Macaca mulatta: one gene and its partners. The protein of the gene in region 5 interacts with the protein of the main gene of each other region in a biochemical or structural test. Links are inferred from orthologs where the notes say so. Each region holds a gene or a part of one and is shown on either strand. Other genes may lie near its edges. The genes, in order: RPS6, PDK1, MTOR, MAPT, RPS6KB1 and RPTOR.

Region 1 (5,429 bases), on a different chromosome or scaffold from region 5:
ATATAAGGGAAACCAAGTGCTGAAAAATAACCAAGCTAACCTTTACTACCTTCCAGTTTTACTAAAATACAGTGGCATTATGTTAAAATATAACTCTGCATAGTCAATTTGTCTGTGAAAACCACTTAACATAGTATTTACATAATCATCCTGCCATACTTTTAAGTGTAAGTTTGATGTAAGCTTGCATCTCTATTTCCCTTGACAATTCCTGCCAATTCAGGGGTAACGTAACAATTAACATCAGATTATGTGACATGTTGTTAAAGTATCTTCATTAATCTGATCTGTACTCCAAAACTGCTCAGACTGTAGATTTGCATTGGAGCACAGGCTGTTTCATGAACACTCGTGGGAGTTTAATTGCCTTAGGCTAAATGCTCAGATGTTCAGGTTCTGCTAATATTTCAGACTCCTACTATAAACACAGGAACCATCTAAAAATACCCATCAACCACACCACGCTTTTATTATTCTGATTATTTCCAGGGCTGTGATTATCGGCAACTGCCACCTATTTGTCAATTGCTTTTCTTTTTTTTTTTTTTGCAATGTCAGCTTCATTAGGGTAGGAATTTGTCTATACTGTATTCTCAGCACCTTGAACAGTACCTGGTGCTCAAATAATTGTAATTACTGACTTAACAAACATGTACTATATATGCCATGTACAGGTGTTAAGTCACACCAGTCCTGAAAAAACAAAATCCAGAGAAATTCTTTCAGATTTTGTCAGGAAAACCCAACCTTGACTGACATGCTGTTTATTCTATTTAACATAAACATTCCCAAATTTCACTACAGAAATACTGTCATTTGAGGTCCTCACTGGTATGTTGTCTAATATATTGACACAAGTTCTTAAAAGGTAAAGCTCCAAAATCCCTAACTCCCACTTCCTAGTATTCTAAGGTCTCTAACTTCTAATTCTTACAACTCTTAACAATTGTTATCCATATCCTACAGATGAAACAAAAGTTTAAAGCAACTTCTTTAGTAAGCCAAAAAATAATTTAGGGTTGGGTGTGGTGGCCTGTAATCCCAGCACTTTGGGAGGCCAAGGTGGGAGGATCACTTGAGTTCAAGGGTTCTAGACCAGCCTGGGCAACACAGTGTGACCTCATCTCTTAAAAAATATTAACAGTAATAATTTAGAACATCTGATGTAAAATTACAAAGTGTGTGGTGGTGAGATAATAGTTCCAGAATTCTCAAGCATGTGACTCCTAAACCAGATAGCAATGACCTTAAAGTCAGGTTAGTTTTGGATAAATGTATACATCAAAGATTCACAGGCAGATTTTCAAGGAAATTACTGCACTCTACAAGGCACTGGATATAATAAGCAAGGATTAATACCAAGTGGGTATGCTGGCCACCCCCACATATTTTTTGTAAAAATTCAGACTCCAGGTGAAGAATGCTAAGGCTCCAAAGGCACATTTTTATCTTCTCATATGCACACAAAATGATATTGACAAATCACCAAAATTAAGCAAGCCCTAATTGCATAATCCCTCCTACCTTCTTTGTTTAAGGGCTTTCTTACAACATACTGGCGGACGTCATCTTCTTTAGAGAGATTGAAAAGTTTGCGGATTCTGCTAGCTCTTTTGGGGCCCAGGCGGCGAGGAACTGTAGTATCAGTCAGTCCAGGAATATCCTTCTCTCCTTAGAAGACACAATTGAAAAGATTTTAATTCAACAACTTCCTTAAGAATCCTAAATCAGAATATTTAATGTTGAATTGATGGTAAAGAAACAAATCCATTGGATACTGCAAATGAATAAGCATTTGGACAACTGGCTTTACATCAATTTCAATGAAAATTGAACACAAGTAACCCTCACCTTTTTTTACAATAACCAAGTTGAGAACGCTCAGATTGGCATCCACAATGCAACCACGAACTGATTTTCTCTTTCTTTCTCCCGTTCTCCTTGGTCTGTAACAGGAATGCCCCTTACTCAGTAGCAGGCGGACACGGCCATGGGTCAAGACACCCTGCTTCATGGGGAAACCTTGTTTGTCGTTCCCACCACTGATTCGGACCACATAACCCTGCAAGAGCATACAATGAATGACACATTTACTATTTCTATTCCAAAATTATACAATACAGGATTGTGACCTCTGTGAACCACACCTATATGAGAAAGTATAATTCATTATGAAAACCAATTTAAACTTAAAACTTAAGCACGTTTTCTCTGATCAGTAAGTTTTGTCTACATTCCCAACTTATCAAGTTCAATTATCAGATGTCTTTCATTCAAGTCGCATTTCTAACCGATGTTTTATTAGAAATAACAGCACTAGGAAGATAAAATATCAAAGAGCAACAAACAAGATACAATGCGTCTTCGCACTTTGGAGATTATGAGGACAGCTATGTGACATCTGCCGAATGCATGATGCATGGCAAGAATTACGTTGATGTAAACTTTACGTATATTTTACGGCTTACTCTATGTCTCCCCTCCAAGGTAACAGCTCAGCTTCATAAAGTGGCATTCGGAAGCAACTTACCAAAGGTCAGAAGCCAGAACCCGCAGTCTGAACCCCATTCCAAATACCAATTACCAATGGCGTTTACCGTCTGACTTCAATAGCTGCAACAATTTGATTGTTAACTTTTACCTTCCATTCTTCACCCAGAGCGTCAGCAGCAACTTCTGTGGCCATACGCTTCTCATAAAAAGTACGAAGTTTGCGTTCATCGTCCACTTCAATGAGTTTCTGGCAGCCAGTGGCTGGGAAGGAGATGTTCAGCTAAGGATTAAAAGGGAGGGAAATAGTTTACGAAACTACCTACACAGGTAATTGTAGAGCCATCCACAAAGTTAATTCCACTGCAAAAAGCCTTTCATGTTGCCTCCACACAAGCAGGAAATATGAGATGCCGACCGTACTCACTAAAAGCACGTGAAAGCACAGTAGCAGTCAAGAAGCGCCGCACTCAGGAGGACGTGTTCCCCTCAAGCCCCGCAGAATGACTCTGGGGGCGAGGGCGCTCCGCAGCTGTTCACCCTCCCGAAGCAAGAAAGCCGGGGTCAAGAGCCGCACCACAGGCCTGCCGCAAACTGGGCAACACGCCGGGACGCCACCATGGCGCTCCCGGCCCGCCGCGGCTCCAGCCGCAATCGCCTGCCATCCGCTCGGCCAAAAAGCTCCATGCCCCAGAAAAGCGAGCCTTCTCCTACTTGAGACCCTTCTGCACCTAAAGCCAGGATCTTGCAGTGCTGGAAATGAGGCAATGCCGCGTTCTGGGACTCGATTCACGTTCCCCAAACCAGTCTAACACTCGCCACCACCACCTACCTTCATCTTGAAGCAGCCGAACGCCTCCGAGGCGCCACGGAAAAGAGGACCAACTTCCGCTTAGCGCAAGTCTCATAGGCGCTTTCAGTTCTCGCGAGATGAGCAGAAGTACGGGACAGCGGAAGTAAGCACGGGTGGGCGGCACTTCCGGGGTTGAGTTGAATCAGGGTCTGGGAGGTGAAGTTGGTTGCCAGTGGTTGTGAGGTTATGCCAGCAGTGGTGGTCTGGTAAGGCGAGCCCGCGTGTGATTCTGAGGGTTAGCCCCTTCCCTGTCTTGTCTTTTCCACGCTCCCTGGGTTTTGGAGCTGGGTGGCTCACGCCTGTAATCCCAACACTTTGGGAGGCTGAGGCGGGCGGATTATTTTAGGTCAGGAGTTCGAGACCAGCCTGGCCAACATGGCGAAACTCCGTCTCTAATAAAAATATATAAATTAGCCGCGCGTGGTGGGGGGGGGCGACTGTAGTTCCAGCTACTAGGGAGGCTGAGGCACGACAATCGCTTGAGCCCGAGAGGCGGAGGTTGCAGTGAGCCCATATCGCACCACTGCACTGCAGCCTAGGCGACAGAGGGAGACTCCGCCTCAAAATAATAAAAGTTCGAGTTCCAAATCAAGTAAACAAGAATAATGTTTACTTTCTAAAATTATCACATACCATCTTCCCACTTTAGTGTCACAAAGGTTTGAGTTTAGGACTGTTTCACGTTCGAAGTTGAATGACTCTACTGAATCCGCTTTGATCATCTCACATTAATTCGTGGAATCTTGGTGAAATGATGCTTTTTAAAATCTGAGTACTGTATGTAATTTTTTTGTTAAGGTGAAATTGACATAACCAGTCATTTTTAAAGTGAACAATTCAGTGGCATTTAGTACATTCACAATGCTGTACAACCAGCCTCTCTATCGATACAGTTCCAAAACATTTTCATCATCCTAAAAGAAAACGCTGTGCCCCGTTAAGCGGTTGCTCCCCCTTCCCCATTTCCACCAGGCCCTGGCAACCACCAATCTGTGTCCTGTCTCAGTGGATGTGCCTATTTCACAAAAATGGAATCATACAATATTGACCGTTTGTGTCTGTCTGACTAATCTTTTGAGTCGTAGCATGTATCAGTATGTCATCCCTTTTATGGCTCAATATGCTAGTGTAGGTATAGACTGCAATTTGTTTATCCATTCATCCATTAATAGACATATGGGTTGTTTCTACCTTTTAACTATTGTAAATAGTTCTTCTATGTATGAGTACTTGTTTTCAGTTATTTTAGGTATATACCTAAGAGTGAAATTGCTGGGTCATACAGTAATTTTATTCTCAGGGAGAAACGGAAACTATTTCACAGCAGCTGGACCATTTTACATTCCCACCAGCAATGTATGAGGGCCGCAGTTTATCAAAATCATGGCCAACACTTTTTTTTTTTTTTTTTTTAATTTTTAAAAAATGTATTGTAGAGACAGGGTCAAAGCGAGATCCTGTTGGTCTGGAACTCTTGGCCTGCAGCATCCTCCTGCCTCAGCCTCTGGAGTAGCTGCGACTCATAGTGGTTTCGATTTGCATTTCCCTAATGACTAATGATGTTGAGCATGTTTTAATGTGTTTGTTGGCCATTTGTATATCTTCTTTAGAGAAATGTCTGTATAAGCTCTTAACTCTCCCTGTTTTTTTCGCCCTAATTATTTTTATTGAAGTAGTGGGAGTAAATTAATGTGAGGCAAAGACAAAGTCTAGAACCATGGGCTAGGTTTTTTTGTTTGTTTTTCCCTTTAAAAATATTTTAGGGTGGCCAAACTCAGTGGCTCACACTGGTAATCCAAATGCTTTAGGACGCTGAGATGGGAGGATCTCCTGAGGCCAGGAGTTTGAGATCAGCCCGGGCAAACATAATGACACCCTGTCTTCAAACCCTGACACCATTTTGAAGTGTACACTTCAGTAATGTTAAATATATTAACATTGTTGTAAAATAGATCTCCAGAACTTTTTCATCTTGCAAAACGGGAACTTCATACTCATTAAGTAACTCCTTTCCCCCTACCCACAGCTTTTGGTAACCATTCTACTTTCTGTCTCTATGATTTTGACTAAGTATCTCATATAAATG
Region 2 (4,994 bases), on a different chromosome or scaffold from region 5:
TTTTTTTTTTTTTGAGACAGAGTCTTGGTCAACCAGGCTGGAGTGTGGTGGCGCTATCTCAGCTCACTCCAGCCTCCACCTCCCCGGTTCAAGTGATTCTCCTGCCTCAGCCTCCCAAGTAGCTGGGACTACATAGGCATGTGTCACCACACCCAGGTAATTTTTGAATTTTCAGTACAGGTGGGGTTTCACCATGTCGGCCAGGCTGGTCTCGAACTCCTGACCTCAGGTGATCCACCCGCCTCAGCCTCCCAAAGTGCTGGGATTATAGGCATAAGCCACTGCACCTGGCCCAGGGAAAGTCTAAGTGTGACATGACAAAGCTGAATAGCCATAAACAATAAATGACAAATATAACTACAAAAAAATGTAAAAGTGTATATGCTAAAAAGACACCAACGACAATGCAAAAAAAAGAAAAATAACAGGTTGAAGAAAATATTTCCTATCTATATAACAAAACTTAAGAGTTGGTTAGGAAATACTCTTATCCACTGTTTGATACCTTTTTAGAGATACCAAAATTTTATATGCATTTAAATGTTTTTAATTCTAGGAATCTTACCCTCTAAAATACTAGCAAAAGTAAGCATGTATTTAAGGATGTTCACAGCAGAACTGCTGGTATTGGTGGTAACAAAAAAATTAAAACAACCTAAATGTACGCCAACAGGAGAATTAATTAATACATACTGATACATTCCATACAGCCATTCAAAATCTTGGGGTATATCCAGATGTACTGAACAGCAAGATGTCTGCAAACTTGTAGAAAAATCACAGAGCACCCCATTTTCTAAAAACAACAATGTAAGGCCAATATCAATTGTGTATGTGTACAAGTGGTATAAATAGAAGAAAGCGTGAAAGGATTCAAACCAACCTGTTACGAATTACTGCTCATAGTGCAAGGAATTAGAAACAGGGGAGCAGGGACTTGAAATCTTTTTTAAGTGAAAGATACCCTCAGCTGGGTTCAGTGGCTCACGCCTGTAATCCCAGCTCTTCAGGAGGCCGAGGCAGGCAGGAGTTCCAGACCAGCCTGGCCAACATGGTAATACCCTATCTGCACTAAAGATACAAAAATTAGCCAGGCGTAGTGTTGAGCATCTGTAACTCCAGCTACTGGGGAGGCTGAGGCAAGACAATCGCTTGAACTCAGGAGGCAGAGGCTACAGTGAGCTGAGATCGCAGCACTGCACTCCAGCCTGGGCAACAGAATGAGACTCTGTCTCAAACAAAACAAAACAAAAAAGATATCCTCTATAGTATCACCAAACTTTGCCTATCTATAATTCTATCAATAAAATAGTCATCCTATAAATAATGCACAAATAATACTATAAGGTTATTTTCAAACCCATGCATTGGTGCCTACCATTTTATCTCATGATACAAATAGTTGTTTAATAGTAAGAAATAACAGTAACTTTGATTTTTGTATCTTTTTTGTAAAGAGAAATGTCAGTATTTACCTTTAATAACTTCAACTACATTGCAGTTTGGATTTATGCTTCCAATGTGTTTTCGATGAGACGGACTTCCTTTGCCTTTTCCCCCAAACAATAAAGCTATCCAAAAAGACAAAACCAACAAAATAAGCTAAACTACCTAATGCTCTTTTCCAAATCTGAATAGTGTTTAAATTGTACCAAACAGTAGAACAAATATTTGCCTTTAGGATAAACACAGTATTTTACATTCAATAAAAATACCTTTCTTGATGGCAGTCTATTTACTTCTCTTAATTAGCCAAAAGGTAAAACTAAATTTTCTACCTAAATGGAAGTTTCCTAAATACATTTAAAATATGCCACCACATCTCATTTAGCTGCTTCTCTTGACTCAGGACACTTACAGTGCTGATTGAGTAACATTCTAATTGAAATGCGACTCATGTAGAATCGATCCAAAAAGTACTGAACATTCTGGCTGGTGACAGGATCCACCCCAAAGCTCTCCTTGTATTCAATCACACCCTGGGCCATTGTGGGAATGACATCATTGTGTCGGTTTCTGATCCGTATCACAGTATCTGTAAAGCTAAACAAACCCATCTGTCAAAACAGCCAAATATTTTGACAAGTAAACTTAATACAAAAATATAAGTTTAACCAACTATGCTAGACAAAAATCCCTAATTTACTAAAAGGAAAATCAGTTCATGTTTTCCTATACTTATTTAAATGTATTTCAAATCATAAAATATACCAAATCTATGGAAGTATAACGACCTCCAAAATAAAACTTTCAAAATGTAATTATTTTCTTGGTTTCCTAAGAGTAAGGCTGTGACAAAACATAATCTTAAAAATGTTAATGGTTTTAACTGCTATCAACTAAGGTTATCTGAGCACTTGCTAAGAGGATGGTATTCCAGAGATATTCTGCATAGAAGAAGACAAAGCACTTGCCTCTAGGGAACACCTGCTCTGCTCTGCAAGGAATCAAGATGAATGAGCCAATAAAGCCTGCCTGTTTTAGAACTATTCCCTAGGGTTCAAAGAGAGAAGGAAACACTTAGGACAGAAAAACGAAAAAAGAATTATCATTTCATTTATTCTATGAGTTTATAAAATGGGAGAGGAAAAGTAAACAATTGTATTAAAAGATAAATCTTCAAATCATCTAGTAGCCTTCCCATTTCTGTCACTTAGAAGACGTTGCATGGTTAAAGAACTAAATAAAAGACAAAAGAGAAAAGAAATCTTTTTTTTCTTTTTTTGAGATGGAGTTTTGCTTTTTCCCCAGGCTAGAGTGTAATCACACAATCTTGGCTCACTGTAACCTCCACCTCCCAAGTTCAAGCGATTCTACTGCCTCAGCCTTCCTCAGTAGCTGGGATTACAGGTATGCACCACCACGCTTGGCTAATTTTGTATTTTCAGTAGAGATGGGGTTCCTCCATGTTGATCAGGCCGGTCTTGAACTCCCGACCTCAGACTATCTGCCCACCTCGGCCTCCCAAAGTGCTGGGATTACCGGCATAAGCCACTGTGCCCGGCCCAAGAAGTCTTAATTATGCAGTAACAAAACCAATTTTCTAACATAACCCATCTGAATTTACACTTCCAAATGAGTGTTTTCCTATTCAAAGTCATCATCTTGAGTACTATTAACTTATTCCAATGATGTTTCCACTGCTTAAAACATTTTTGGAATTCCTAGTTAGTAACAAGCTTCAAAACAAGACTGTTAAACCAAAATACAAACAACAAAACTCTTCGAAAACAACAAACAACTCATCATTCTAGTCATTCCTTTATTTATTTTTCTTTTTTCTTAAAAGAAAACAAAGCTGTATTATTCTGCTTGACTACTTATTTTCCACAGCTCTGAACGACTGTTTTCAGAAGGCTCTATAGCATGTTTACTTCTAAAGTAAGGCTGCTTGGATTCTACCATGTGCTAACTATGTAACCTTAAGCTACATGCCCTCTTTGTGCACAAACAGCATTATTTCAATGAATTGTTTTAAAGATTAAAAAACATCATTCATGTAAAGTCTGCTCAATACCTAAGCAAGGAGTAAACTCTTGCTGAACGTTATTTTCAGATTAAAATCATGTTTAAAAAAATGAAGTGTTACTGTTCCCTTTAAAGACAGTCCAAAAAACATGTGTAACTAACTGAGGACAAGAGATGGTCATTACATTGTCGGTGCCCTTCACTGCAATAAGCAGGTAGCTGCATATGGCAAATACTTTGGTCTACCAATTCCGGTATATGGGTTATTAAACTTGTCATATTACTGACATCTTACAGGCCATAGAGAATAAACTAGAAACCTGCAACCATGTTTTATAGGCCTTCTATGTTTTAAAAAATGTTTTAATTAGCTGCCAATCTTTCAAAAGCAAGAGATTTTACATTACAAACCTAGACTTGTAGCTTTCCTTTAAAATCAGAAAACAATCAGATGATATGAGCAGTATTTTAACATGGCAAAGATCAGCTGGGGCTGAAGGTGGTTGTCCATTAGAAAGAGCATGCACCCTCCAGGTTAACAATCCAACTGCAACTGAGGCCACATCTACATTTCCATTGATCATCACACCTGAACTTTGTCTTTTGTTAAAGAGGAATGCGAAGCATTTCTTATGCCTAGTCAAATTTAATGATTAGGTTATTTATCCTGCCTGTATGGGCTGCTATAGTCACATATATCACATGTTGTAAAGTAGCAGAAACCTAAAAGTTAATCAATTTCCCCTAAGTGACCTAATAATAGGTTTAAGAATAGGGTCAAAATAGTGAACTTACTCATAAATAGCTTTAGCATCCTCAGCACTTTTGTCCTTAAAATCAAGAAGCTCCTGAAGACTCTGGATATACCTAAAATGCAGATCAAGAGGATAAGTTCGTTCTTTTATATTCTGAAAGTTATCATGAAACTTAGCTCAAAAGCTATTTTTAGCATTTTATAATTTTTAATTTAGAGTACTGCTATAAATTATGGTTGAAGTAGAATTTTTACACCCATGCACATTCGAGAAAAGTGCTGGGAACAAATAGTAGAAGGTACACATTTTCTCCTAAAAGCATAGGTCAAGTTTAAGAATTTTAAGATTTTCTATTCTAAGTTCTACATCCTAAAATGGCTTTTATTTTTTTTTTAATTTACCACTGTACATTACAGTATACATACTGATTATGCTGAGATCTGACTGTCACCAATAACTATGTGATCTTGGACAAATGACTTAATTTGTCTTATTATCGGTAAAAGGAGGACAGCCTCTCTTGCTCTGAGACTCTATCTTAAATATCTATGCTTTAAAACCTTAATTTTACGTGGTTATGTCCAACTAACAAGTATTTATTAATAGACTATAATCTACTATATGGTTCTTTTAAACTGAACAAAAAATACAAAAGTCATAAAAATGTAGATTTTAAATTCATCTAATAATTCAAGGTATCAAAGCATCTGTTAAGATATGAGCAAAATAAAGAAGGCCAAATGATTTTCTGATGGTCGTGCAGGCAAGTAC
Region 3 (4,994 bases), on a different chromosome or scaffold from region 5:
CTTTTTTTTTTGAGATGGGAGTCTCTCTCCATTGCCAGGCTGGAGTACAGTGGCGTGCTCTTGGCTCACTACAACCTCTGCCTCCTGGGTTCAAGCAATTCTCCCAGCACCAGCCTCCAGAGTAGCTGGTATTACAGACGTTCGCCACCATACTGGGCTCATTTTTTTTATTTTTAGTAGAGACAGAGTTTCACCATGTTGGCCAGGCTGGTCTCGAACTCCTGACCCCAGGTGATCTGGCCACCTCGGCCTCCCAAAGTGCTGGGATTACAGGTGTGAGCCTCCATGCCCAGCCTTCAACAATGATTTCTATTCCTTCCTAAAACTCAGAAAATTTTTTAAGACTTAAAATGACAGGCACTTCTAACGCAGGCCAGCAGTTAAATAAATCATTAGGCTAAAAACAGAAGTGCCAACGTAAGTACAGCTTCCTAATTTGTTGATTGATGATATAATTTACAGCCACTTTACAACAAATTGTGAACAAACAACATTTCTCTAGAGTGAGTTACATATATTAATGATTTTCTATGTTTAAGTTCCTTATATATTACAAAAAGTGTTTACTTCAAAACAAAGCATGAGGGAGGGTCAGGAAGCAGACAGCGAGCAATGGGGACAGGAAATGAATGGGTGAACCACATAGAGACCCAGAAGAGGCAGCTGGAAATAACTTTGCCAGGCAGGACTGGACCATGTATTGCTCACCAGGAGGCCACAGAACTTACTCAGGTAGGTGAAGACAAAAACTGAGGAGCCATATCTCAAGAGGAATTCTACCTTAGGCTACAGACCAAGCAACTGAGTTTGGCATTCTCATATTATTTAAGAACAAAAGCCAGGATCACAGACTGGGGCAATGACTATCAGAATAAATGGTGGAAACGGTCTCACATTGGTTATTTTTGTGAAGAACAATGGCTTCCATGCTTGACCTGGCACCAGCAAGAAAAGCAGGAGAGTGGAAGGATAGGGAGGCGCTGGGAAGTCTGACACCATCTGCAGCAGATCAATCCAGCAAGCAAAGAGGGCCAAGAAATGGGATCACTGGCGACTTGCCAGGAAAAAGAAAGAACTACATGAGAGGACTCCGAACCACCTTGGAGTCATATTGACAAAGGGCTCATGAGGTGATGAGCACTGGAACTGCCATTATAAAGCCAGGGAAACGTGGACCCTTGCAGACAAATGTGGCTTTTACCAGGTACCTCAATCTTTCTCCCCAATCCTTGTCCTCAACTCCGCTTCCTCAAGCAGCTCTCAAAGTGAGAGTCCTGTCTTCCCTGCCTGTGGGTCTGGCCATCATCCCGGTTACCTGGATGAGCATCTTGCGCAGGAAAGGCATGACAAACGCCGGGTTCATGCTACTGAGTCGGCCCACAGTGCAGATGGCCAGCTCCCGGATCTCAAACACCTGGTCATTCAGAGCCACAAACAAGGCCTGCAAGTTCTCCGCCTGGGCCAGGTGTGCATCAAAGCGCTCGTCCAGGGATGCCAAGACACAATAGCGAATGTCAGGGTCTGCAAGAGCAATGGAGCCTTTGAACATTTCTTCATGACCCCATCACTTTAGCCCTTCCCAGCTTCCACCTCCACTGCCATCAGCGTAGTGGGAAGATTCCAGATGCTTTCTCTCATCTAACCTCTGTTACTCTTTTCTCTACTCATAGGAGTAAAGACAAAGAATTAAAGGCAGATTATCTTACACTAAGAGGCTAGAGTAGCTGCGCCTAACACGCCTTGGCAGAGAAATAGCTGAATATCAGCTTGTTGAGGCCGAAGATCTCTAGAGAGGCCTTTCATTACGTAATGAAACTGGCTACTCGCAACTGCCCTAAGCTCCTTAACTCCCCTAGATTGCTTCTGTCTGGGAAGCCTTACCAGGATCTGTTATCCCAACCACGAGCAGTTTGCTAAGCACGTCTGCCACCACTTGCACTGCAGTCTGGCTAACCACATGAGCATGGCCACTGATGAGGTGGATGGAGGGCGTGAGCAGGCGGGAACAGGTACGGGCAGCCTCCATGCGGATCTCCTTGTGCTCACTGTTTAGAAAATGATCCGCACAGTGGCGAACAAATTGGGTCAGAGAGTGGCCTGGATAGAAAGGCAGAGAGAAAACAGAATAAACACTGCTGCTGCAGACAGGTAGGTCTGCAGCTTGCTAGCTGAATTTTCCATTTTGAGGCTACTAATTCTACTTTCAACCAGATATTGATCAATAAGATACTGACTCAGAACTCCTTTTTTTTTTTTTTTTTTTTTTGAGACGGAGTCTCGCTCTGTCACCCAGGCTGGAGTGCAGTGGCACGATCTCCGCTCACTGCAAGCTCCACCTCCCGGGTTCACGCCATTCTCCTGCCTCAGCCTCCCGAGTAGCTGGGATTACAGGCGCCCACCACCATGCCCGGCTAATTTTTTTTTTCTTTTCTTTTTGTATTTTTAGTAGAGACAGGGTTTCACCATGTTAGCCAGGATGATCTCGATCTCCTGACCTCGTGATCCGCCCGCCTCGGCCTCCCAAAGTGCTGGGATTACAGGCGTGAGCCACCGCACCCGGCCTGACCCAGAACTCTTAAAGGGTAACAAGGGGGCTTTCAATCAGCAGAAAGGCAAAAGAGAAATAGAGAAACCACAATAGAGAAACCACAGGTGGCTGTCTCCAGACAGCATGTTCAGGCTTTCTGTACTTGCTTGTTTCTCTACAGTCTTGACCAATACTACCTATATGATCTTAAATTTCAAAAGTATCAACTTCTCCTCCTGAAATATATCTCTGTGGGGTATTATTGTGGGTTTATTTGCAGTTTAGAACTACACAGTACAGTACTTTTAGAAATCATACCGCCAGCCGGGCACAGTGGCTCATGGTTGTAATCCTAGCACTTTGGGAAGCCGAGGCAGGCAGATCGCTTGAGGTCAGGAGTTCCAGAACAGCCTGGCCAACATGGTGAAACTCCATCTCTACCAAAAATACAAAAATTAGCTGGGTATGGTGACACGCACCTACAGTCCCAGCTACTCAGGAGGCTGTGGCTGGAGAATCGCTTGAACTCAGGAGATGGAGGATGCAGTGAGCTGATATTGTGCCACTGCACACCAGCCTAGGCAACAGAGAGACTTTGTCTCAAAAAAAAAAAAAAAAGAGAAAAGACACCATACCACCATAGACATGGAAACACCCAAAAGCCCCTGCTTATACATTTTAAAGCATTACATATCATCTCAGCTACAAGGAGGTGAAAAAGTGGGGACATGAGGGGGATCTGTCTCTGCAGCATTATTTCCTTGGATCAACGTATACTTTCCCTCAAACGATCTGCCCCCAAACTCAGTATGGGACAAAGAAACAAACAGGAATTACCAATATATGGAAAGAGTCTAGGAAGGATGAGCTGCTACAGAATCAGCTACCCTGTCTCTGGGATCACAGCAAGATCCAGGAAGTCTAGATACTTTCATTCCTTTCCCAAAGTTTCCAGCAGCTCTCACTACCTTGCCAAGAGACATTGTAATTTCTTACCTTCAAATTCAAAGCTGCCAAGCGTTCGGAGGGCAAGAGTGATGCTGCCCACATCGCTGGCCTCAGGGAGGGTTGTGAGGCCAGGAGAGGCCAGCTGATGGGCCAGGCCCTTGGGCATGCCTGGGTGGCGGAGTGGTTTGTGCATAAGGACCAGGGACAGCATTTTCAGTAGCCCATCTTGAATGTCCTTCTTTAGCTGTGGAATCTGACGACTCAGGTCGTAGAGCACTGCAGTGAGGGCAGGGCTGAGGGGAAGGAAACAAGCCACATAAGGGCTGGGCACATGACACTCAGTCTGTTCTTGGGAAGAAATAGCTTTCTCTCCTAGCAAGGGGATCAGGCCTCTGTTCTTCAGAGTAGAAAGGATATTATAAAATAAGAATAAAAGTGTAAACTCTCTTGGCTTAGTCTCAGGTATCCAAACAATCTGTGAGTTTCTGGTTCTCACCACAAAAGATTTGCTCACTATAATTCAGCCACTACAGAAGACCAAGTCTCAACAAACACTCTGGGAGCAGATTTAAAACACTGTCCTTATTTTACAGATGAGGAGAAATTAGTTTAGGAAGCTTAAGCAACTTGCTCAATAATATACACAATATTTGCAAATATTTATTGAGTACTTCCTATATGCCAGGCATGGTGCTAAGAGTGACTATATCATGAACCCACAGCAACCCTAGGCAATACGAATTACTATTGTACCCACTTTTCAGATTAAAAGAAAAAAATGAGGCCGGGCACGGAGGCTCACACCTGTAATCCCAGCACTTGGGAGGCCGAGGCGGGCGGATCACAAGGTCAGGAGATTGAGACCATCCTGGCTAACATGGTGAAACCCCATCTCTACCAAAAATACAAAGAATTAGCCAGGCGTGGTGGCAGGTGCCTGTAGTCCCACCTACTCGGGACACTGAGGCAGGAGAACGGTGTGAGCCCAGGAGGCGGAGCTTGCAGTGAGCTGAGATCGCGCCACTGCACTCCAGCCTGGGCAACAGAGCGAGACTCCTCAAAAAAAAAAAAAAGAGGCTCAGAGAAATTAAATAACTTAGTCAAGATCACATAACATGCTAGTGATGAAACTAGGATTCAGTACTAGCCTATGTGTTTAGTCTAAGCTATCCTGTCCATCCAACTGAAAGTGCAAACAACCACACCTCACTCTTTTAACAGTCCCAACACTGGAGGCCAAGCCGCACATTGATATAGGGCAACCTCAGGTTTCTGACACCCACCTTAGTCCTACTGCCAGCATGGGCTCCAGCAGCTCCTTGATATCCTGCTGGATGCTTGGCCCCATTGCTCGAGCCAGCATGCTGATGCAAGTGAAGACTGTGGCGTCCACCTGCATTGCCTTCTGCCTCCTGCAGAGAAACCAACAGTGGCTAGTTGAGACATAATGACATTCTTTAATGTCCCACCTCAAAATCACCCTGGGGCAAGGAGAACAGGTTACTCAGGCAGATGGGCG
Region 4 (4,994 bases), about 21 Mb from region 5:
GAAGGGCCCCTATTGCAGCAGGCTTGAATGGGCATAGAGAAAACCATGCTCCCGTTTAAGCTAGATGCATATTTTGTTCATTTGCAGTCACTACTTTGAAAAACAGATTGTTCTCTATTAGTGTATTTTCTTTTTCTTTTTCTTTTTTTTTTTTTTTTAGACAAAGTTTCACTCTTGTCACCCAGGCTGGAGTGCAGTGGCGCAATCTCAGCTCACTGCAACCTCCACCTCCCGGGATCAAGCAATTCTGCCTCGGCCTCCCGAGCAGCTGGGACTACAGGTGTGTGCCACCACACCCAGCTAATTTTTGTATTTTTTGTAGAGACGGGGTTCTGCTGCATTGGCCGGGCTGGTGTCGAACTCCTGATTTCAGGTGATCTGCCTGCCTTGGCCTCCCAAAGTGCTGGGGTTACAGGCGTGAGCCACCATGCCTGGCCTGTTACTGTATTTTCTTGAAAGACCATTTAATACAAGCTTTGATAAAAATATTTATGTTAATGTTTTTTGAAGTGTTTTTTAAGAGAAAGTTGACATTCCTGGGAATGTCCAAAAATCCCCAAACTGAAAGGAACCCAGGAGGCTGGTGGTGTGCCCCACTGCTTGTTAGCAATTTTTCTCAACACACGGAAAACGGGACTAACGCTGCGGGGATCCCTGGGACCAGGATGATGTTTTCTGAGTAGGGGCAGGGCCCTGCCCACCTTCCTGAGCCATCACATGGACAAGTTGGAAACAGAAGGAGCCAAGAAGCTGAGACTCAGCATGGCTCTAACTCAGGTTCTTAGAGGACTGCAACGCACCAGGAACCTTCCAGAACATTGTTTTTTTTGGGGGGGGGGGGTCTCACAACCACCCTGGGACGTAGGTACAGCATTTCCATTTCATCTTGCTGAAGGAGAAACTGAGGCTGAGAGGATTTGCGGATCTTGACTCTCCGAGCAGAGTCAAGCCCAGAGCTCTTCCTAACACAGAGAAGCTTCCAGAGACTGCAGCGGGCCTCCCTTCACCCAGGAAATCGCCAATGCCCATGCCCCTATCCCGACCCACTCAGTCAGACTGTGGGGACGGGGCCAGGCCCAGGTATCTTTAAAGCGCCCCAAGGCTGGGAGGCCCTGCCTTAGACCAGGGGCGGCCTGGGTGGTGGAAACAGCAGAGAAGCTGACTGCTTCCTCAGATAACTGGGCCCGGCCCCCACATCCCTTGAGGCGGGCAGCCTCCTGGTCCCCCGCTGTTTTCTCACTTTGGATAGTGACCCAGGCACTGAAAAGTATCCCTGTGTCCTGCATGGCACAACCTGAGAGCTCTCGGCCAGCTACTATGGACCAGTGCCCTCGCCAGCCTCAGGGCCTGTCTGGAGGTGAGGTCTGCCCCAGGCCACAGTTTACAGCATCTGCGGCAAACACTTCTCACAAAACTACATGGTTAGACATTTATCACAAACACAAGATGAGGGTGCCCATCTGTTCAGAACCAGATGCAGTGGCAAGAGGGGAGGGCGGAGACTGACCAGGGCAGGGGTCTCTCAGCTGCCACCTGAGTGGCCTGGTGGAGAGACAGCCTGGTTGCCACTTCCACCCGACTGGGCCACCTCGAGAAGCAAACTTCCTCACGCCGAGCTGGGTCTCAGATCCCACACCCTTTCTGGGACACCCCGATACGGTTTGGCTGTGACCCCACCCAAATCTCATCTTGAATTATAGTTCCCACAATTCCTACACGTTGTGGGAGGGACCCGATGGGAGAGGATTGAATCGTAGGGGCGGGTTTTCCCTGCCCCTATGTTCTCATGATAGTGCTGTTCTCATGATAGTAAGTCTCCCGAGATCTGATGGCTTTATAAAGGGGAGTTCCCCTGCACAAGCTCTCTTCTCTTGTCTGCCACCATGTGAAACAAGCCTTTCACCTTCCGCCATGATTGTGAGGCCTCCCCAGCCACGTGGAACTGTAACTCCATCAGACCTCTTTCTTTTGTAAATTGCCCAGTATCCGATAGGTCTTCATCGGCAGCATGAAAACAGACTAATACAATCCTTTTCCCTCTACCACGCCCCAGTCAGCTCCTGGGAGACCCTGAAGGTTGGAAAGTGAGCCACTCCCAGAACTTCAGGCTGGGTGTGGGCAGGAAACCCCAGAGGGTGCTTGGCTGCGCTTCTGCAGAAGAGAAGCAGCAGCTACCAGACCGCATCCTGTGCCAGCCCTAGACAGATCTCGCTTAGCGCCACACACACCCTCACTGCACAGACACCCACAGCAAGACCTGGAGACTAGAAACTGCTGGGGACACCAAGGCCCCAGGAGCCTCGTGTGGACACTTCCACAACAGGCAGGCAGAGGCTTTCCTGAAATCAGGATTTCAGCATCATTGTTTTGCTCTAAGTGCCTAGTAACCCATTTAGAAAATTAGATTATGTTCCCATGTGTTCTTGGTGCGCCACAGGTGACTGGGGATGTCCACTTCCTTTTTTAGTTGTCTGCAAACATCAGGGCCTAGGACAGTGGTTCTCATTTTTTTTTTTTTTTTTTTTGAGATGGAGTCTCACTCTGTTCCCCAGACTGGAGTGCAGTGGCATGATCTTGGCTCACTACAACCTCTGCCACCTGGGTTAAAGCGATTCTCATGCCTCAGCCTCCCAAGTAGCTGGGATTACAGGCATGCACCACCACACCCAGCTAACTTTTGTATTTTTAGTAGAGATCATCTCTACTAAACCATCTGCCCACCTTGGCCTCCCAAGGTGCTGGGATTACAGGCATGAGCCACCGCACCCAGCTAGTTCTCACTTTTGACTGCACTAAAGAATCACCTGGGAGCTTTAAAAACTGCAGCCACTTAGGCCAAGCACTGTGGCTCACACCTGTAATCCCAGCACCTTGGGAGGCTGAGGTGGGCATATTGCTTGACCTCAGGAGTTCAAGACCAGCCTGGGCAACATGGCAAAACCTCGTCTCCACAGGAAATACAAAATATTTAGCCGGGCATAGTGGCAGGTACCTGTAGTTCCAGCTACTTGGGAGGCTGAGGTGGGAGGATCACCTGACCCAGGGAGGTAGAGGCTGCAGTGAGCTGAGATCATGCTAATGCACTCCAGCCTGGATGACAGAGGGAGAATGATACGGGCTGGCTGTGTCCCCACCCAAATCTCATCTTGAATTGTAGTTCCCATAATTCCATGTATCATGGGAGGGACCCAGTGGGAGGTAACTGAATCATGGGGGCGGGTCTTTCCCATGCCGTTCTCATGATAGTGAATAAGTCTCATGAGGTCTGATGGTTTTATAAATGGGAGTTGCCCTGCACACGCTCTCTTGCCTGCTGCCATGTAAGACATGCCTTTGCTTCTCCTTTGCTTTCCACCATGATTTTGAGGCCTCCCCAGCCATGTGGAACTGTGAGTCCATTAAACCTCTTTCCTTTATAAATTACGCAGTCTTGGGTATGTCTTTATTAGCAGTGTGAGAACAGACTAATACAAAGACCCTGCCTCAAATACTTAAAAATAAATAAAAACAAAAACTCCAGCAACTGAGTTGCACCTAAGACCGATCAGTCAGCCTCTCCAGTTGGAGCCCAGCTGTGAAATGTGCTAAAGCTCCTGGTGAAGGTGATTGAGACAGGCAGTCGAGACCCACTGGATGCTGCTGAGGGCCCACATCCAGCCAGTCAACACAGAAGCCTCTGTTTTCCTCCTCTGGGAACTGGACCAGTCTTTGTCCACTTGACTTGATTAATGCCCATACCCAAGTGCAGCATCCAACCCGCCCCCTTTACCTTTTTATTTCCTCCGCCAGGGACATGGGTGATATTGTCCAGGGACCCGATCTTCGACTGCACTCTGTCCTTGAAGTCCAGCTTCTCAGATTTTACTTCCACCTGGCCACCTCCTAGAACACAACACACACAAGAGCATCTTGCCATCATCTTCCGCAGTTCCGTGGACTTAGCACACATTACATGAGGTCTGTGGTCTACAGGGCAAAGTGCCAGGGGCTGCTGGGGCACAGCAAAAATTAGATCGGGAGCCACTGCTCTGCAGGGAAGAAGACAGTGACGGGACTTCCAGGTTTGCAGCAGGACTTGAACCAGGGCCAAGCAAGAGGTTTCAAGGAGAGACCAGCCTTTAGAAGTAGGTAAGACTTTCCTTTAGAATGCTGTTTGGATACAAGTAAGTCCTTGAAAAGTGCTTGAAAATAGTTTGCTTCATCTATCTAATCAAAGTATGCATCAATATTTACACAGTAAACTCTTCCTCTTGAGATACTGCAAAGGTAAGTGACAGCTCAACCCAGGAGAAATTATTCTAAATTATACATTGGTTGGCTTCCAGTAAGTCAAGTATTTTTTTATTTTATTTTTTCTTTGAGATGGAGTCTCACTCTGTCACCCAGGCTGGAGTGCAGTGGCGCGATCTCAGCTCACTGCAGCTCTGCCTCCCGGGTTCACGCCATTCTCCTGCCTCAGCCTCCCAAGTAGCTGGGACTACAGGCGCCCGCCACCACGCCCGGCTAGTTTTTTGTATTTTTAGTAGAGATGGGGTTTCACCGTGTTAGCCAGGATAGTCTCGATTTCCTGACCTCATGATCCGCCCACCTCAGCCTCCCAAAGTGCTGGAATTATAGGCGTGAGCCACCGCGGCCAGCCCAGAGCATCATTTTCTGTTTAAACAAAGTCACAGAGGGGACACGGCAGTGACCCAGGGTTCCTGTGCTGTAGCTGCTGCCGATAGTGAAGTGTCTCCATGTTGGCTGGGGACCAAGCTCACACATCCATATAGCTGCACCTCAAGCCTGAGAAGACCTGTGGACAGCTTGCTGGGAGAATCCCGGGTTAGGGCTTAAGGCCAGCATCTTGCCTCCCTCTTCACCTTGAAAAATTTTTTTTTTAAAAATGTTTATGGGTACATAGTAGGTATATATATTTATGGGGTTCATGAGATGTTTTGATGTAGAAACACAATGTGTAATAATCACATCATGGAAAATGGGGTATCCATCCC
Region 5 (4,994 bases):
GGCCAGGAATGATGGTTCATGCCTATAACTGTGGCACTTTGGGAAGCCAAGGTGGGAAGATAGCTTGAGTCCAGGAGTAAAATAGTGAGACTCTGTCTCTACAAAAAAAAAAACAAAACTTAACTGGATGTGGCACACACCTGTAGTCCAGGTACTCACGAGGCTGAAATGGGTGGATCACTTGAGCCTGGGAGGTCAAGGCTGCAAAGAACTGTGATCATACCACTATAACCTATACCTAAGCCTGGGCTACAAGGTGAGACCCTGTCTAAAAAAAAAAAGGGATACCAAAAATCTACAGCTGTTTCAGGAATAAAATACATGTAGTTAGTGTGAGGTTTTTCTCCCCACTGCTATGACTAATTTTTGGTTGAGATGCTAAGCCAAACACCATTTTAAGTCTGTGGCCCAACCAAAAAAGGGAATCATACTCTCCAAAGAATTGCACATTCCCACCCTAATTGCTAAAATAAAATGTTGGATTATGAAAATCAATTTTGTAGGTATCAGTAAGTTATAAGGGCATCGCTAATGAAAAAAAAAAAAGTGGACCCGGTTACCTACATGAACTGCAAAGCAGGCAAACTGAATTTTCTTATCCAAGAGCCCATCCTCATACTTAAAATTTCCTATGACTACATGGAAATTGTTTCACTTACCAGAAAGACCTGATTGGCACTTTCACTGAGAGTTGAGTCATCTGGGCTGTCGACAGGTGTCTGACGTGTAAACTTGGAATCAAACTGACTTACATCCTCTTCAGATTGCTTTATACAAACAAAATAATTTAGAAAATAATAAATAGTCCATATATATATTACATGAATCAAATGCACTGTAAGCTCTGGGAGCTCTTTTCGCAGGGGTTAACTATAATAAAGTATTAGAATAGTCTTAGCAGGCACAGAATGAAGAAAAAAATGCAGGTGGAAAGTACTGAGTCAAATTACATCTTCAAATCTTAAACTTGCACTCTAATAGATTTTAGTATAGAGTTATTCCTATTAAAAATGAGAATATATTGACTGGGCATGGTGGCTTATGCCTGTAATCCCAGCACTTTGGGAGGCTGAGGCAGGCGGATCACAAGGTCAGGAGTTCAAGACTAGCCTGGCCAACATAGCGAAACCCCGTCTCTACTAAAAATAAAAAAAATTAGCCAGGCATGGTGGCGTGCTCCTGTAATCCTAGCTACTTGGGAGGCTGAGGCAGGAACCTGGGAGGCAGAGGTTGCAGCAAGCAGAGATCGTGCCACTGCACACCAGCTCAGGCGACAGTGCGAGAGTCTGACTCAATTAAAAAAAAAAAAAGTGAATATATCGAGCTCAAAACAAGCTGGAAAAAATGTTAATATCAATTTCCCGTCTCACAAAGCTTCATTGTGCCTAGTCCACTGGCTAAATCCCTGTTTAGAGATAATTAGTTCAGTTGGCTACTGCAGGTTTGTAATAAACCTGAAAAACTCCTGAAGCAGAGTTAAAACATGAATAACACTGGTGAGATGCTCCAGTTAAAGTTTCTTCCCACAGCGTGTTTCATTCCTTTAGAAATCTAAAGGAGCAAAAATAATTTTCTATTCCGCATGGTTTGTAAGTTATATTTCCCTGTGAAAGTATAGTTATCACTTCAGTTCTAACCATGAGATTCATTTATTTAATTCCTTCTCTCCCAAAATATCTGGTTAGACTCTTGGGCCAAATGTAGGAAGTAAATAATAATTTAGAATATCTGACTTCATACTGAAAGATGACCACACTGACCTTATAATTCTCTCAGAGCCCAGACTGTGAACCGCACTCCCTGGAGGAGCGGCTGATTCCAGGTGTGGGGAAATGCACAAGATAAGCACAGAATACCAGTTTCCTTATTTTGCTCTCTGGTGCAACACCAGCCCATGTGCTCATGTCAAAAGGACTCAGAAACCAACATGAAGATGCACCCAGCATTCACTGCACCCAGCATTCACTGCACCCAGCATTCAACAAAGGGAAAAATTGAGCATCAATTATAACTGCCAGGCGTGGTGGCTCACGCCCATCATCCCAACACTTTGGGAGGCAGAGGCAGGTGGACTGCTTTTGAGCTCAGGAGTTGATGACCAGCCTGGTGAACATGGCAAAATGCCGTCTCTACCAGAAACACAAAAATTAGCTGGGCATGGTGGTGCACCTGTGGTCCCTGCTACTCAAGAGGCTGAGGTGGGAGGATTGCTGGAGGCCGGGAAGTCAAGGCTGCAGTGGGCAGAGATTACACCACTGCACTACAGCTTGGGTGACAGAGTAAGACCCTGCCTCAAAACAATAAATGAATAAATAAAATGAATAAATGAATCAATAAAAATAAAAATAACTGCAATGAAATGAAATACAAATATGTTAAAAGGTGTAAGTTCATAATATACTAAAAAAGAAAAAAAATACACAAAGTTCATTGGTCAATTTTGGGAGATGCTAGGGAACTAATTCATTATTTTGAAAACTAGGAAAGAATCAAACATACATCCTGCGTTTCCTGTATGAACTATACCTTGAGTAACTAACTGATCAAAGAGTTTCTCTTTATGAAGAATTCGAGCTAACAAAGAAAGAAGAAATAACAGAATCAGACCATTTCACAAACACCTGATGAAATTATAAAAGTAGGCCAGAGTTTCTCAACCTCAGTGCTACTGACATTTCAGGCCTATTAATACTTCGCTGTGCTGACTCTTACCCCTAAAGGTGCCTCAGCATTCCCTCCCCCAAGCTGTGACAATCAGTGTATCTCCAGACATTGCCAAATTACCCTGGTAGTGAAATGCTGACACAGGCAATGATCAGTGACCACTAACATCACAAAAAAAAAAAACAACAAAAAACTATACATTATGCCTCCTGATCAAAGCATGCAATACTGAGAGTTTAATCTGAATCAGATCAACCACCTAAATTTAACTACCAGTTTTTGGAAGTTCAGGGAACAGATGAACATGGTCAATGAAACTATGGGGATAATATCAACGAAATCAAAATCTGAGAATTCTACAGGACAAATGACCCGGTTTCGTCAGTAAATCACAAGGGGAATCTGTAAATAACAAGAGACCTAAGAGACATAGTAACCAAGTTATATACAAACCTTGATTAAATCCTCACAAACAGGACGAAAAAAAAATAATGGAACAACAACAACAAAAAATTAAGTGGGGAAACACAGGGAAACCTCATCTCTAGAAAAATTTTAAAAACTAGCTGGGTGTGGTGATACACCCCTGTGGTCCCAGCTATACGGGAGGATCCCTTGAGCCTGGGAGGTTGAGGCTGCCATGAGCCATGATCATGCCACTGCACTCCAGCCTGGGCAACAGAGAAAGATCCTATCTCAAAAAAAAAAAAAAAAAAAAAAAAAAACTGGGCAAACTGTCAACTTCTGAGGTGTGATGCTGGGATGGCAGTTATGTTTAAACAAGATGACCTAATCATTTTTTAAGCTGGGCGGTAGGTGTATGACAGTTATCCTCCTTACAATTGTCTGTTGTTTTTTAAAGTGGGTCACATTAGCTCCATGACCAAAAAATAATCACCATCATCATCCTCCTCCTTCTCCACCTACATCCCAAGGAATGGAAAAAGAAACTGTATTTTCTCAGATTCTGAGGTGGGAGAAAGACAATAACTAACATACTAACTCATTTACTCAAAAACATATTGCTATGGGTTGAAGCATGTGCCTTACCCACCCCCCAAAAAATTTCGTATGTTGAAATTCTAACCTCTAGTTCCTCAGAATGTGACCTTATTTGGAAAGGGTTATTGCAGATGTAATTAGTGAAGATGAGGTCCTACTGGAGTAGAGAAGAACCCTAATCCAATATGCCTGGTATCCTTATAAAAAGGGGAAATTTGGCCACAGATATGCACACAGGTAGAACACCATGTGAACATGAAGGCAGAGATCCGGGTGATGCACCTACAAGCCAAAGAATGACAGAGATTACCAGCAAACCACCAGAAGCCAGGGGAGAGGCATGGAACATACAGTTTCTCACAGTCGTCAAAGAAACCAACTCTAACAATGTGATGTAGAACTTCTAGTCTCCAGATCTATGAGATAATAAATTTCTGTTGTCTCAGCCACCCGGTTTGTGGTACTTTGTTGCAGCAAGCCTAGCAAACGAATGCACATCTATTCTATAGTTTGAAGAAAAAATTCCCAGAGAATCATATTTAAAATGGTTAAATTAAGCAAAATAAAACCAGAAAAAGAAAAGTACCAACTACCTGAAATATTTAATTGTCTTAGGTAACTGACTTAAAAATAGCTCATACAGTCAACTGCCACTGGCTTTAGTTCTTTAAAAAACAGTACAAAAATAAAAGATGCTTGGCTGGGTGCAGAAGCTTACACATGTAATCCCAGCACTTTGAGAGGCTGAGGTGAGTGGATCACTTGAGCCCAGAAGTTCGAGACAAGCCTGGGAGACATGGCAAAACCCTGTTTCTATAAAAAATACAAAAATACTAGCCAGACATGGTGACAGCTATAGTCACAGCTATTCGGGAAGCTGAGGTGGGAGACTCACGTGAGCCTGGGGAGGTCAAGGCTGCATTGAACTGTGATCGTGCTACTGCACTCCATCCTGGGTGACCGAGTGAGACTCCGTCTCAAAATAAAATAAAATAAATAAAAACAAAGATGCTAAAGAGAGGATAAACCAGAGATCTTTGCACTGCTAATAAAAATAATGTTTCTGTCTGCTCTGAGATTTTTCTTATTCTAAAAAAATACCAAGTGATCCTCCTGCCTCAGCCTCGAAAGTAGGATGGGACTTACAGGTACATGGCACCACACCCAGTAGAGTCTCTACTAAAAATTTTAAGTCTCTACTAAAAATACACACTTTTAAATGTTTTGTAGATATGGAGCCTTGTTATGTTGCCCATGCTGGTCTTGAACTCCTGGCCTCAAACAATCCTCCCACCTCAGCCCTTTAAAGTTTTGGGATTACAGGCATG
Region 6 (5,612 bases), about 40 Mb from region 5:
GGCAGGTAGATGACCTCAAGTCAGGAGTTCAAGACCAGCCTAGTCAACATGGTGAAACACCATCTCTATTAAAAATTTTTTTTAATTTAGCCAGGCGCCTGTAATCCCAGCTACTTGGGAGGCTGAGACAGGAGAATAGCTTGATCCTGGTAGGTGGAGGTTGCAGTGAGCCAAGATCGTACCACTGCACTCCAGCCTGGGCAACAAGAACGAAACTCCATCTCAAAAAAAAAAAAAAAAAAAAAAAAACTACCCCAGGTTGAGCATGTTGGCTCACGCCTATAATCCTAGCATTTTTGGAGGCCAAGGCAGGAGGACTGCTTGAGCCCAGGAGTTCAAGACCAGCCTGCGCAACACAGTGAGACTCCCCAACCCCAGGCATAGTGGCGCACACTTATGGTCTCGCTACTGGGGAGGCTGAGGTGGGAGGATCATTTGGGCCCAGGAGGTCGAGGCTGCAGTGAGCCGTGTGATCTCACCACTGTACTCCAGCCTGGATGACAGAGCAAGACCCTGTCTCAAAAAAAAAAAAGAAAAGAAAAGAAACAGAAAAACACTCCACAAATGGGCTTTGTTCAGCCTACAGTGTTGGACTACAACGTGTTTGGTAATATATCTGAATTAGTAAGAATATTTACAAATTGGAAGACTTTACATTTAAAAAAATAAAAGTTTGCTGGCTTCTCAAAGACAAAGAAAGAGAGAGGCCTGGCCAAGGCCCAGTTGCCTTCAGTTACGGCATCAGGGAGCTCCCGTTCCCACCCTCCAGAAACTGTCACACACACTGTGTCAAATGTCAGCTGCCATTTATCTTTATCTGTGAACCTATGCCATTATTCTTCTTAAATGTGGCCTGTTTCATTCACTTATGCTACCTTCTCACTCTTAGTATCATTTGAGTTTGCAACTTCTGTCCTATAGGGTGTGTGAAACGGTCCATCAAGGTCTGACCTGAGGGAAGAGATGACAAGATTCCAAACTCCCACAAACTCAACTGAAGATGTTAGCTGCTGATTTTCTCCACTGAAAAACAGATACAGCAAACTTTCTCCCCAGCTGCTTTCTAAGCAACAATCTCAGTAGTTACTAAGAGTCACAGAACTTGTTTCTCTTAACAATCTGTGAAAAGCTTATTATGGAATGTTGATCATTCACAAATTAATGTTTTAATTAAAAGATCAAATATATACCCATTAATCAGTTTCGAACAGTTGGAACATAGGTTTAGGACAGCAGAGGGAACCACATTTCAAAAGAAAAAAAAAAACTGCCCTCTACACAGAATTTTTTTTAAAAAAAGTATTTTCACATATGTATAGCAACCACAAAAGCTTTTAACTATATAATTACTACTAAAGATGTCCATAAGATAGAATATACAACCTCCCCCAATGTCTAACTTATTTAACTCCTTAAACTGCTTTTCGATGAAACAAATTTTTCTAATCTTTTAGAAGTAAGCCAAATCAGTAACTAAAGTACTGCTTACTACTGACAGACTAGAGTTACCAGAAGTGTAATCTTTATTTATTTATTTATTTATTTTTGAGACAGAGTCTCATTCTGTCTCCTAGGCTAGAGTGTAATGGTACGATCTCAGGTCACTGCAACCCCTGCCTCCCAGGTTTAAGCGATTCTCCAGCCTCAGCTTCTCGAGTAGCTGGGATTACAGGCAGCTGCCATCAAGCCCGGCTAATATTGGTATTTTTAGTAGAGACAGGGTTTCACCATGTTGGCCAGGCTAGTCTCAAACTCCTGACCTCAGGTGATCCACCCGCCTTGGCCTCCCAAAGTGCTGGGATTACAGGTGTGAGCCACCGCGCCCAGCCCAGAAGTGTAATCTTATATATGTTCATCATCATATATGAAAAAACAATAATATTCCATAAACATATACATAAGCCTAAAGGAAATCAAACCTTGTAACACCAACTTCCTCTTTTATACCACTGAAACGTGCAAATAAATAAAAGCAGCCTGGAGGGAGAACATAACTTACCAAAAGACAAATTATAAGTGTGCATACATGAGAAGCAGTACCACCCTTTTGCTTTTGAGACCAGGAAATAGATGGTATCTTATGAAGGATAAATTCAACAAAATTCAGCTGTTTTCTTTCCTACCAGCTGCTTGTGAATCACTCTCCACACTCCAACACCATGAGGACAACCTGAAACCTGCAGTCAATGCCTCATACCCTAACTCACAATTAAAGAAATCCTGTCTCCAAGTTACAGCAACAGGACCCTACATAAAAGGAGGAAAGTCTAGCTTCAAGACAAATTGTTGAGAAGACTAGAATGAAGTTCACTGTAACTTTAAAATAACTTTGCACTAATTTGTTACTAGTTGAACATTTTCCAGTAATCTCGTTTCCTAGCATAGTATATCAGACTTCTGCACTTCACCCAGCTTGGAAATTTTACAAAGTAGACTAATTATGTGGGTATAAGCATTATATCGCACGTTGCCCTTCCTCTAAGTGTTAACAGAACAAAGTAGTATGCCGAAGAGCATGTAAATACTCGCAATGCTGTATTTCAAATTTGCTTAACTTTTATTATCTGAATCAGAACTTAGTTGGAATTGAATTAACACTACCCAGTGAATAACGACTAATTAAAACAGCCTTTCCCATTTTCAGCCAAAAACTGCAGTCTGAAATGGCTTTTGCTTTCTAATTGACTTACAACGTGTGGCTGGGGGGAAATGTCAGCGCTTTCCCAAGGACACTTTTCAGGCTGTAAACTTTCTTTGTTGGAGAAACTACCAAGTTCAAGGGGTGCCTTCAGAATCCACTTACCCGATCCTTCATCCTCCAGCTTTGAGCTAAGGATTTGGAGCCTTCAATTTTCTCACAGTGCCTCTTTTTCATAAAAGCCAAAGGTAGGTTCCAGTCTGTAAGATCAGCCTCATCTTCCTCCCCCAGGCCCAGAAGAGGCGACTGCAGCATTTCGGACTCCATCAGTGGGGGAGGGGGTGGGGGAGTCCTTGGCAGCAAGCGCTCAAGAACCTCCAGCCTTAAAAACTAGCGTGTACCAGAATTGGTGAAATAAGAAACAGAAAAACGGGGAATCGAAAAACAAATGGATGGAGAGTGCGGAGACCCTTACTCAGGCAAAAAGTCTGAGATCCTTATCTCTAACTCTGGGCGGGAAGTGGGGAGGTGGGGGCCGCTAGGAAATGGGGCAGCCCAAGAAGCTCCGCAGACACACACCAGCCCAAGTCCCAAGCCACTGGCTGCTCCTGGGGCTGCACGTTTCCAGAGGGGCTGCGAGCGGAGCTGTCAAAAGCGTAAGAGACTTCAGGCCTCACGATGACCCTGCTCTCGGCCTCCAACGCCTCAGCAGTTCCGAGGACAGGCAGGCCGCTCTTGGTGCCGGTTCGCCCACTGGGCCGAGGTCTCCGGCCAAGGGATCGGGTTCAAAGGGCCCTGGGTCTCCTCCAGCCACTCTCAGCCCTGCGGGTCCCGCACTCGTCTGAGCTGCCGCAACCAGAGCCAGGACCGGCCCATCGTGCTCGCCCGCACCCGGTTCCTCAACCTCAGGTCCGCGCGGCCTGGCTGGTCCTGGCCTTCAGCCCCGAGGCTCTCTCCTGCCTGAGAACGAGTCCTGAGAAACAGGCGACACGGAACCACGGAGAAAACGGACAATGAGGGCTTACTGGGTCAGGGGAGCTTTGCCCTCTGGTTTGGAGCTACAGGGAAACTCATCTCATCAGCACATCAAGGAGGACGCCATATTGCCAGGACCCAGAATGCACCGCGGCCTACGGCGTGGCCGACAGACCAAACCTCCTCAGAGCGTTCTCGCCGCGCCACCCAACAAGCAGTGAAGGAAAGGGAGTCCCTGACCCCATTACCTCGGTTACCGTAATTCCGTTTTCCCCAGTTAATCGCCATTTGTTCAGTAGAGGCGTGTTATTAAAGTCAGTCCTACAAATGAAACTGTCGGTTTAATTTATTTTTTCAAAAACATTGTTATTATAAATGAAGCTACATGCTCCTGAAATTAGAGGAATCAACCGCCTTGTTTCTTCCAGATTTTGAAAAAGCGGCAAAAGCTTCAGGAAAAAACACTGATAATATTAGAAAATATAGTACTTTTTTTTTTTTTTTTTAATGTAGTATCTTCCACAGTGTCAATCAGATTTTCTCTTTTTCGTAGAAAACCAAGTGAAAGGCTGGGCGCAGTGGCTCACGCCTGTAATCCCAACACTTTGGGAGGCTGAGGCAAGCAGATCACAAGGTCAAGAGATCGAGACCAGCCTGGCCAACATGGTGAAACCTCCGTCTCTACTAAAAATACAAAAATTATCTGTGCATGGTGGCGCACACCTGTAGTCCCACCTACTCGGAAGGCTGAGGTAGGAGAATCGCTTGAACCGGGGAGGCAGAGGTTGCAGTGAGCTAAGATCAGGCCACTGCACTCCAGCCTGGGAGACTGAGCAAGACTCTTCAGATGAAGAAGGGTCCGAAGCAAGATTCGATGAAAAAAAAAAATTCATCGAATACAATTCTTTGTTTAATCTGTTTCATTTGCTGAGCAGTTTATCCTTTGTAAATTTCTTTTCTCCTGTCTCAGCCTCGCGCACCACCACGCCCGGCTAATTTTTTGTGTTTTTAGTAGAGACGGGGTTTCACCGTGTCAGCCAGGATGGTCTCGATCTCCTGACCTCGTGATCCGCCCGCCTCAGCCTCCCAAAGTGCTGGGATTACGGGCGGATCACGAGGTCAGGAGATCGAGACCATCCTGGCTGACACGGTGAAACCCCGTCTCTACTAAAGAATACAAAAAATTAGCCGGACGTGGTGGCGGGCACCCGGAAGGCAGAGCTTGCAGTGAGCCGAGATTGCGCCACTGCACTCCAGCCTGGGCGACAGTGTGAGATTCCGTCTCAAAAAAGAAAGAAAGAAAAGAAAGAAATTCTAAGTGAGCACGTTGAAGTCCAAACCCACCAGGTGGTCAGAATCGCCCAGGAAACTAAAAATCAGGATGCCCAGCTTCCGCCCCAGACCCCCAGATCGGGGAGCAGGGAGACTGGGATTCAGAATCTGCACTTTTTTTTTTTTTTTTTTTGCAGTTTTTACAGTTTTATTTAAACACCAAACACGCACATGTGTCTACTCATTTTCTTCGCTGCGCAGCCTGGCATGGGGGACAGTGACTCTGACAGCCAGCTAGGCGGCTCTTTCCACAATGGCTTCGCGGTTCCTGGAGGAACGCTGTGAGCGATCTCAGCGCAGTAAGCTTTGTTGCACATCAGCAGCAAGCTCCCTGACGTTGTAGACCATGAACTTCCGGAAGCCAGTGGGCAGCATGGGCTTTGTTTTTTTGTTGCTCCCATAACCAATGTTGGACATCAAGATCTGACCCTTGGCCAGGCGCAGTGGCTCACACCTGTAATCCCAGCACTTTGGGAGGCCGAGGCGGGTAGATCATGAGTTTAGGAGATCGAGACCATCCTGGCTAACACGGTGAAACCTCATCTCTACTAAAAATACAAAAAATTAGCCGGGCGTGGTGGTGGGTGCCTGTAGTCCCAGCTACTTGGGAGGCTGAGGCAGGACTCTTTGCCAGGCTGGTCTCGGACTTTTGACCTCAGGTGATCCA

What was found.
Region 1: of the proteins of RPS6KB1 (region 5) and RPS6, one has a biochemical effect on the other in vitro, tested with the Homo sapiens proteins (4 studies listed by BioGRID). The link is inferred for Macaca mulatta from reciprocal best matches to the Homo sapiens genes RPS6KB1 and RPS6.
Region 2: the proteins of RPS6KB1 (region 5) and PDK1 form a complex in vitro, tested with the Homo sapiens proteins (2 studies listed by BioGRID and IntAct, with this or other methods). The link is inferred for Macaca mulatta from reciprocal best matches to the Homo sapiens genes RPS6KB1 and PDK1.
Region 3: of the proteins of RPS6KB1 (region 5) and MTOR, one has a biochemical effect on the other in vitro, tested with the Homo sapiens proteins (18 studies listed by BioGRID and IntAct, with this or other methods). The link is inferred for Macaca mulatta from reciprocal best matches to the Homo sapiens genes RPS6KB1 and MTOR.
Region 4: of the proteins of RPS6KB1 (region 5) and MAPT, one has a biochemical effect on the other in vitro, tested with the Homo sapiens proteins (2 studies listed by BioGRID and IntAct). The link is inferred for Macaca mulatta from reciprocal best matches to the Homo sapiens genes RPS6KB1 and MAPT.
Region 6: of the proteins of RPS6KB1 (region 5) and RPTOR, one has a biochemical effect on the other in vitro, tested with the Homo sapiens proteins (6 studies listed by BioGRID and IntAct, with this or other methods). The link is inferred for Macaca mulatta from reciprocal best matches to the Homo sapiens genes RPS6KB1 and RPTOR.

Annotation. Positions count from the first base shown.
Region 1 is NC_133420.1:79,810,187-79,815,615, reverse strand, and holds the start of RPS6 (small ribosomal subunit protein eS6), read right to left. Parts: upstream 3,370-5,429; 5' UTR 3,329-3,369; coding exon 3,323-3,328; exon of another isoform or gene 3,222-3,322; intron 2,774-3,221; coding exon 2,642-2,773; intron 2,063-2,641; coding exon 1,852-2,062; intron 1,672-1,851; coding exon 1,525-1,671; intron 1-1,524. UniProt on the Homo sapiens protein: Component of the 40S small ribosomal subunit. Plays an important role in controlling cell growth and proliferation through the selective translation of particular classes of mRNA.
Region 2 is NC_133417.1:77,480,650-77,485,643, reverse strand, and holds part of PDK1 (pyruvate dehydrogenase (acetyl-transferring) kinase isozyme 1, mitochondrial), read right to left. Parts: intron 4,336-4,994; coding exon 4,264-4,335; intron 2,044-4,263; coding exon 1,859-2,043; intron 1,572-1,858; coding exon 1,476-1,571; intron 1-1,475. UniProt on the Homo sapiens protein: Kinase that plays a key role in regulation of glucose and fatty acid metabolism and homeostasis via phosphorylation of the pyruvate dehydrogenase subunits PDHA1 and PDHA2.
Region 3 is NC_133406.1:229,490,481-229,495,474, reverse strand, and holds part of MTOR (serine/threonine-protein kinase mTOR), read right to left. Parts: intron 4,888-4,994; coding exon 4,759-4,887; intron 3,769-4,758; coding exon 3,524-3,768; intron 2,098-3,523; coding exon 1,882-2,097; intron 1,522-1,881; coding exon 1,316-1,521; intron 1-1,315. UniProt on the Homo sapiens protein: Serine/threonine protein kinase which is a central regulator of cellular metabolism, growth and survival in response to hormones, growth factors, nutrients, energy and stress signals.
Region 4 is NC_133421.1:70,918,332-70,923,325, reverse strand, and holds part of MAPT (microtubule-associated protein tau), read right to left. Parts: intron 3,883-4,994; coding exon 3,770-3,882; intron 1-3,769. UniProt on the Homo sapiens protein: Promotes microtubule assembly and stability, and might be involved in the establishment and maintenance of neuronal polarity.
Region 5 is NC_133421.1:50,035,572-50,040,565, forward strand, and holds part of RPS6KB1 (ribosomal protein S6 kinase beta-1), read right to left. Parts: intron 3,949-4,994; exon of another isoform or gene 3,752-3,948; intron 768-3,751; coding exon 660-767; intron 1-659. UniProt on the Homo sapiens protein: Serine/threonine-protein kinase that acts downstream of mTOR signaling in response to growth factors and nutrients to promote cell proliferation, cell growth and cell cycle progression.
Region 6 is NC_133421.1:90,242,911-90,248,522, reverse strand, and holds the start of RPTOR (regulatory-associated protein of mTOR), read right to left. Parts: upstream 3,744-5,612; 5' UTR 2,966-3,743; coding exon 2,804-2,965; intron 254-2,803; exon of another isoform or gene 44-253; intron 1-43. UniProt on the Homo sapiens protein: Component of the mechanistic target of rapamycin complex 1 (mTORC1), an evolutionarily conserved central nutrient sensor that stimulates anabolic reactions and macromolecule biosynthesis to promote cellular biomass generation and growth.